2 linked regions of the Coturnix japonica genome follow. Each later gene encodes a partner of the first gene's protein in a complex. Links are inferred from orthologs where the notes say so. Each region holds a gene or a part of one and is shown on either strand. Other genes may lie near its edges. The genes, in order: TLR4 and LY96.

Region 1 (3,499 bases):
TGGCACAGGCTGTCCAGGAGGTGGTGGATCTCACCCAGCAGAGCCTGTGGTGCATGGGTGGACACCTACAGCACACAGCAGCTTGGCACTGCACCCCAGTATAGGGTGTTCTTCTGCACCACCCCTGCTGTCCTCCTACAGTTGCTTTGATATGCAACAAACTGTTCCTTTTTAAGCAATACTGGCCTAAACCCTTATTGTGATACTCAGAACCACTTGCAGGCTTTCTGAAGCCCATTATTACAATTACAATCAAGAATCATAGGATGCCAGAAATGCGTATGCACCGAACTGTTTGCAGAAGAGACGCGAAGAGGGATGGAGAAATGATGCTTCTGTACTGCTCAACTCAGCAGCAGTGAGTCTCACCCCATTTCATTTTCCCTCATTCTCTTTCCTGACGTAACTGATGATATCCGGGGCTAATATTTGCTTTTCCTCCATGTTCTCCTGTAGCCTTGAGGCACGGAAACTAGAGCTGGGCCTGTGTCCCAGCACTGCCTCCCATAGCCAATCCCCATCCCCTGCCCTAGTCAACAGGTGCAAAACAAACTGTCTAGGCAAGCAAACACAGCATCCAGCTTGGTTTTATTAAAGCTTTGTTTCATGGGTCACAGAAGACACTAGAGAGGTTTTTGTTAGTGTTATCCCAATACACTACTGATAGAACACACAGAGAAGGGACTGTGGGGCATCTTTTTCCAGCACAAGCCCTGAAATTAGCTTTCCCTCTTTTGGAAGTAATGTCTGAAGTCAGTCTCACCTATAGCTGGCTTCCACGGAGATGCTGCTATCTGGTGCTGAGAAAAGTGAGATGGATCAGGCCTTTTCTTCTGAGAAAATATCAGGTCTGATTCACCACTCAATTGCTTCTGTTTTACCTCTGTAGAATGGCATTGATTATAGAGGGATTTGCAAGTTTAAGACTAGACTAACTCAGTGATTAATCCCAACCAAAGCCTTCCGTAAATAGAGAGCAATACTCCAGCAGTATTCAATATCCAACGCATCAATAGATTGCTCTGTACTGTGATTCAATGGCATTAAACTTTCCCTCCTTTTAGTCACAGTTAGTGATGGGATACTTTTAGTTTAGCTAACCCAGACCTAAATCTTATTTCTTTTCCTACCATGTCTAGAGTTTGGAGCTGTTCTGTACCTTTACCCTCACCCAGAAACCCTGGGGTCCACTCAAAGTGTCAGACTGAAATTCTGCTGAGCAAACAGCCCAAACTGAGTGTCAGAGGTAAGAACAGCCCATCCATTCTCATATCTATTCACTGACCCACCAGATCTGCATGGATTTCTGGACCGGCTTCAGCTGACTCCTACAGACAACAACAGAGCTCAGGCATCTGCAGTTTTTCAAGCTGTTGCCACTCCTTATCTTGATAGCTGCCTGGAGGAAGGGCAGTCATCAAAGTAGGTGTTTCTGTAGTGCTTTCACATTGTCTCTTTTCACTTTGTCCAACCCTGAACAGTCACAGAAGGACGGGCTTCTGAGCACCAAGCATCAGCCAAGGCCAGGGTGGGAGACAGGACAGAAGTGATGTTTCTTTCTCTTTACATGAGTTTTATCTCCTCCTGATTCCATCTTTTGCCTTCTAGCAGGACTGATGTCAGCTGCCTCCAGAAGATATGCTTGCTTATTTCTTTGTCTTTCCACTCCAGATACGTGTTTCTCCTCAGATATCGGGACAGTCCCAGCCTCTGCCTCAACAAGGCCTTATCCACTTCCCCTAATATGATCATGATGATTCCAGCCTTCCCTTCAACAAGCTGCCAGGACTGAGCAATGTCGAACTCAAAGCTACACCACTTGCTTTCCAGAAAGTCAGCTGAGATGACTGCAATGACATTTCTGCTACTCAGAAAACCTTCTTGGATTATATTAGTGACAATGGGTACCCCCGGTAAAAAATCCCTGTAGTAAAGACAAAGCTGGAAGGGAGGTTTTCCTTCTTCTAAGGGTTCCACAAGCTCTTTCATCACCCATTCTTGGTCTTTGCTGGAATGGATAACAAAGGCATCGTAGGTATCTCCCCTTTCTGCAGAGTGTTTGCACCCACTGAGCAGCACCAACGAGTAGTATAGCTGGAAGAAGTACTTATAAATGAGGAATAGAAACACTCCTGCGGCAACCAACACAATCACTGAGCATGCTACTGTGGTTGGGTTGGGATGGCAAGAGGACATATCAAAGCTTGACAGGCTCACGTTCTCCATGTAGGCAGGTGTGTGGCATATCATTGAATGCTTGTTCTGCAGTAGATCCTGCTTTCCCTTGACCCATTTCAAGAAGTTCAAGTGTATGCAGGAGCATTCAAACAAGTTGTGAGAAATGTCTAGTGAGACCAGACCATCAGGCAGGATTTTCAGGGCTGAGTCTGACAGGAAACTCAGCTGGTTGTTGCTGAAATCCAGGGCTGTGAGGGCTTGGAGTGGCTTGTAGGTTACAGGATCAAAAGTCAATAGCTTGTTGTTGCTGATTATTAGCTCTTTTAGTTCAGAGAGAGCATTAAATGTACTTTGGTCCACCCATACCAATTTGCAATTTGAAATATCCAAGATGCGGAGGCGTCTTACATTCTCAAAGTAGTTGGTCAGTGTGTTGTTCTCAAAGGAATTGCCTGCCATCTTTAGCACTTGCAAAGAGTCCAAGCCATGAAAGATGTGATGGGACATAACATGAGTTTTGGTGTAGGAGATATCAAGGTAAATGAGTTTCTGAAGGAGTAGAAAGACAGGGTAGGTGCCATGATGAATTATTGTGGTGTGTTGAAGGTCCAAGTAGAGCAGATTTCTCAGATTAGCAAAATCTCCAGTCAAACTGATGTCAGAATTGAAGCTTAAGTTCAAGTGTTTCAAATTTGGAGACCTGGGAAACTTATGGGAACAGCAGGTAAGGAAGGAGAGACGATTCTCACTCAAATCTACAACCTCCAGGTAAGTCAGACTCCCAAACTTTTGCTCGAAGCTATTTAGGTCTTTGCTCTTGGTAATACGAAGCACTCTCAACTCCTTAAAAAGAGACAGCTTCTCAGCAGGCAACTCCTGAAACTTAGATTTCTTCCATTCCAGGTGTTTCACTTGAGAAAACATAGGAACTTCTGACAACGTTTCAAGACGAAGGTCCACGAACCGAATAGTGGAGACATTGCCTATGCAGTCAAAAAGAGTGTCTGTGTCATTCTCAAAGTCTCTGAAACACATTAAGACAAACTCCTGCATCTGCACCTGACACAGACCGCTCAAGAGTCCGTTCTGAAATGCTGTCAGCTTCAGAATGTTAGTGAATTCTCCAACTATTAGTCTGTTGACCTGTAAACCTGCCAGGCCCTGAAGAGAGGACTGCATCACACTGAGGTTCTCGAAAGAGGATCTCAGAACCAGTTCACCAAGGTGAATCTTTGCAAAGGATCCTGACTGGATGTATTTTATATTGTTCAGAGAAAGTACCAGTGTGAGGTTGAGCCTGTTTGTTTCCCTCAGGGCATCA
Region 2 (4,281 bases), on another chromosome or scaffold:
AAATCTGCTTGGTAGCAAGTACCAATGACCAGGTTATGCCACAGTCTGCAACCTGCAAGGCAAGGTTTCCCACTGACCTCCTTTCAGCCCTCCACACAGAGAATATTCGTCGTCAGTCCCACTGCACATAACTTGTCTCCAGCGCAATGCTCTGGCACCTTCATACCAGACTGTGAAGACTATCTTCAAATAGGCGACATCGCTTTCTAGTTAAGATATTGCAAGTAAGAAAAGAAGTAACTGGTAAGGAGGAAAAAATACATGTGCAGACATACTATTTCGACTAAAAACTATTTTTTTTCTGATATTTCATTTTTTTAAAGTCCCTAAAAACAAATATACATTTCTTGAAAACCATTCTTTCCAGGAAAAAAAAAAAAGAAAGTTGGTTTCTTTTACCAAAAGGAATCAGTCTCAAGAAATATTAGTGACAAATTTCAAAATCTCTTTCAATTTCTTCAGCAAAGACAACAGTGTTCACTTAGCTCCATAGCTTGTCCCTAAGAGATTCCACACATATAATTTTAAGCACGTATTTTAAACAAATAGTCCAGATTGCTGGTAGCCATCATAAAGTTACTTTACCAGGGAAGTAATCTTACCCCAGCTTCAGAATTTTCACGGAGCAGGTGAAGTTTGAGATATAGCTCACAGGCTAATAGAATCACAGAATATCCCGAGTTGGAAGGGATAAGGATCATCAAGTCCAACTCCAGGCTTCAAACAGCACCGCTCAAAAATCAAACTATATGTTTGAAAGTGCTGCCCATACATGTTTCATTACACAATTTGCCAGCTTAAAACTGGTTTTAAAGATTAGTTTAAAGCTAGGTTTACACACACACTCTATTACCATATTTCCAGTTTCTGGAGTGTGCATATTCTTAGTCCCGATGTGCTTGGATATTTTCTCCCCTTAAAATAGCATGGGTCTTTTTCAGACCAGAAAAGGATGTGTGCACCAAAAGTTTATTTGCTTTTTCTAGAAGTACCTGAGCTGACTCACAATGGTACGTGCAATGCCAGTCAGTGCTCTGAGCTATGGAACCTGCACAAACAAGTCAAATTCAAACACTCTTATTTTCACAAACAGTTTAGAAATCATCATTTCTGTCCATCGCTGTAGTTTATTCGTTCCATTGTTAATCACAGAAAAGTATCTCTTAAATAAACTGACATTTAGGATGAAGTGGCAGTTTTTTGCTTGTGTCACTTATTATTTCTTTGCATTCGGACAATATAATTCTCTAGGCAATAGTGACTCACTTGGAATCCAGGTAATAGCAGCATGCCAGACGGATCTGTTCAGCATGCTGCAGGGTGTCACGTTAAACTTGAAATAATGAGCTGAAGAATCTACAGGATAAAATTATTTCATGTTGTTAGTGAATTATTGCACATGGATGTATGTATACACTTACAGTAAACACAAACACTCAATACAAATAGACCTAATATAAAGTATATATTATACAACTGTGTAATCTAATTATTTGTAGTAAACATTAAAGATCTTTTCAAATGATGCTCCTGATTGTTTACATAGTTAGAAGGCAAAAGCAGCATCAGATTACTTTGTGACTGAGAAGTAAGAAAAGTCATTTGTTGGATGAATTACATTTTGCACTCAAACAGGCAAGAAGCATGCTTCTTTCCTTTTCAAAGTCACACACTTTGCATTAGAATTATGCCATCAGGATCCTCTGATAAAAATATTCCTACTTATGCTAGCTGTGTATTATACATACTAGCATGTTGCCCAAGGCTAGCAGGCCAGCTCAGGTTGCAGCAGTGACTTCATCATGATTTATAATGAGCTCTGTCTTCTATTTTGTGGATTCAAGCAAGGGTTGTGCAAAAGGACTGTCTGACTGCTGGTAATTGGCAGTCATGTTCTGATCACAACTGCATACGGGAAATTATGCTAGAAAACGGAGAACAAAACACACCGTAGTCAGTTTGCAAGCTTAGGCCTAACACAGACGTGTTACATTTTTTAAATGAGTGTTAATGGAAAGCAAAATACCCAAGGTAAACATTCCCTCTTGTGCTTTAGTTTGTATAGATATTTTACAGGTGATATGCACTGGTAGTGCGCATAGACGAGCTTCTTTCCTTGAAAAATATCTATCTCCTAGAATTCCTGCCTTCCTGCCATTGAGTATACATGTTCACAAGGAGCCCGCTTGGCCCTCGCAGCCTCCTTGTGCCTCATTGCTGCAGAACTGATGAAAAAAGTCAGTGAACTACATGGATCCCGTCACCTACTGCTCAGAGACAGCTAGCAACCAGCAGAGAAGTTGTCTTGCTGCCCCAGAGCTGCACTGCCCCCCAGCCTGGCACAGAGTCACACAGGCTGTTTTATTTTTCAATATTTTAAGTGTAAAATATTAATTAAATCAGTATGGGTAATTTGGACAATACAGAACTTCCAAACCAAATTCAAAACTCCTATCTTCCAGCTTTTCCTGAATCAAAATATGCCTCATGCTTTCTCTACTGAGTAGTAAACACCTTCCCTCTTAGATACTGCAAGCCGCCATCGAGGTAATACTTAACATTTATGCAGCATGATTCTTATAACAGGGTGATTAAGACCAGAAATATACACCAGCTGAAACTCTTGTTTATATTTGCCTGATTCATCCAAGAAACATACAGAAGAGAAGGTTCAGTTTGCCTTAGATTAGTGTAATTATTGCACACAGGACAGAAAGAAAAGAATAAGCTAGTTTCTACTTACCACAAAAAGCGTACGATAGTTCTAGATCTGATGATGTACAGAGAAATTCACTGGCTCCAGGAGTGAACAAAATGAAAAAGATAAACTCCAACATATTTACTTATTTTGATCGGTATTGGGCGGAATGCTTCATTTTGGGGAAAGAGGAACAAAAATGCAGCATGGCCATCCTCAGCTTCACGTCTCCAGGGAATATTTGTTTTGTTCTGTCAAATTCTAATTTCCTTAATTAATCCTATTCCAGTGCTATCAGTTATCTTCATCACGAATTTCATGAAGAAAAAGTATTTCTGCCTTTGTTGTTACATCTTCTCCAGACAGAACAGCTCATGTCACGAGTGAAAAAATGAAAGAGAAAACTGTGTGAAATGAGGAAGTGAGAGAAACTAAAAATACAATTACCAGAAGAATGTAAAAGGCAAATGGGGCTGACTCAACAGGAGCAATTGTTGGTAAGGCTTGATTTCACATGCTCACAAGGTTTCCTGTACATAATAAAGAAAACTTACACTCAAACGATGAAAGCCTAGTCCACTCTTACTGGTGTTGTAGTCAATAGTTCTCATGTTTTCACACTGAATTTCTTACAAAGCTCATCATACCATAAGAGAACTCAGACATTATGGATATAATGCAACCAGTTAACTTGTAGAACCACTGAAGTTCTCCTCTATGTCAGCTACTACCTTCAAAGCTTTATCAAGGTCATACTTCTTAGTGACAACAACCTTAAAAACCCATAAAATTTCTACTAATGGGCTCTACGTCCCTCCCCCTAACTCTGTGACCTCTTCTCATGCTCTTCACTGCAGTCTCTAGCAGAAAAGCTGGGTCATGCAATTCATGCTGGAGCATCGAGTCCAAACCCTGAACATTTTGTCAGTACAGTGCATGTTAGGGGGGTTGGAACAGGATGAACAGTAAGGTCCCTTCCAACCCAATCCATTCTGTGATTCTGTGACTTCAGCTTTATACAATTTCCCTGACAGAGTACATACACCCCACACAGACTTCAGCTGTTGTTTAACAGGACACTATAAAACATGCAAAACATTTGTAACCATGGTAACATTAGTTATATTTACAAATGGTCTTTTTTTTTCCTTAAAAGTATCAGAGTGAGTAATAAAATAAACATAAATCAGGATGCCACAGTAGCTGGAAAAAGAAATGCAATAGTGAATCAGACACTGAAGAGTAGCTACCTCATACCTGTGGCAAAAGAAAAGATTTGTTTTACATCAAAAAGCTCCAGCCATTGATCTCGAGTGAGCCTAATCAGTCACAGAACAAGCTAAGACTGACAGTAGAATCAACAGATCCAACAAAAGTCACAGGCCTGTTTGAAGTAGGTGGGAGACTGCACTGACTGTAGGGCATTGACATGAGGTGACCCCGCTGAATGTGTGCCCCTCTGCTGCCACACTGGGTCTTGCTTCACTGCACAGCACATTGGGTAACTGATGGACTCATCAGAAAGAAATCCGTAGATTTACAAGGTCATACATAAAAGCTCTCATAACTAAAATGAAGACAAA

The links.
Region 2: the proteins of TLR4 (region 1) and LY96 are in contact, whole or in part, in a crystal structure (PDB 4G8A), measured with the Homo sapiens proteins. The link is inferred for Coturnix japonica from reciprocal best matches to the Homo sapiens genes TLR4 and LY96. Residues at the interface, in NP_612564.1 of Homo sapiens: Gln39, Met41, Glu42, Asp60, Ser62, Phe63, Asp84, Ser86, Arg87, Thr110, Gly111, Val132, Val134, Glu135, Asn156, His159, Ser183, Ser184, Asp209, Leu212, Arg234, Val259, Glu262, Phe263, Arg264, Asn265, Glu266, Arg289, Ala291, Tyr292; in NP_056179.4 of Homo sapiens: Met40, Tyr42, Ile66, Pro67, Arg68, Arg96, Ser98, Asp99, Asp100, Asp101, Tyr102, Ser103, Phe104, Arg106, Leu108, Lys109, Gly110, Glu111, Thr112, Thr115, Thr116, Ile117.

The regions. Positions count from the first base shown.
Region 1 is NC_029532.1:2,459,313-2,462,811, reverse strand, and holds the end of TLR4 (toll-like receptor 4), read right to left. Parts: coding exon 1,564-3,499; 3' UTR 558-1,563; downstream 1-557.
Region 2 is NC_029517.1:106,980,218-106,984,498, reverse strand, and holds the start of LY96 (lymphocyte antigen 96), read right to left. Parts: upstream 3,111-4,281; 5' UTR 2,838-3,110; coding exon 2,744-2,837; intron 1,357-2,743; coding exon 1,267-1,356; intron 207-1,266; coding exon 78-206; intron 1-77. UniProt on the Homo sapiens protein: Binds bacterial lipopolysaccharide (LPS). Cooperates with TLR4 in the innate immune response to bacterial lipopolysaccharide (LPS), and with TLR2 in the response to cell wall components from Gram-positive and Gram-negative bacteria.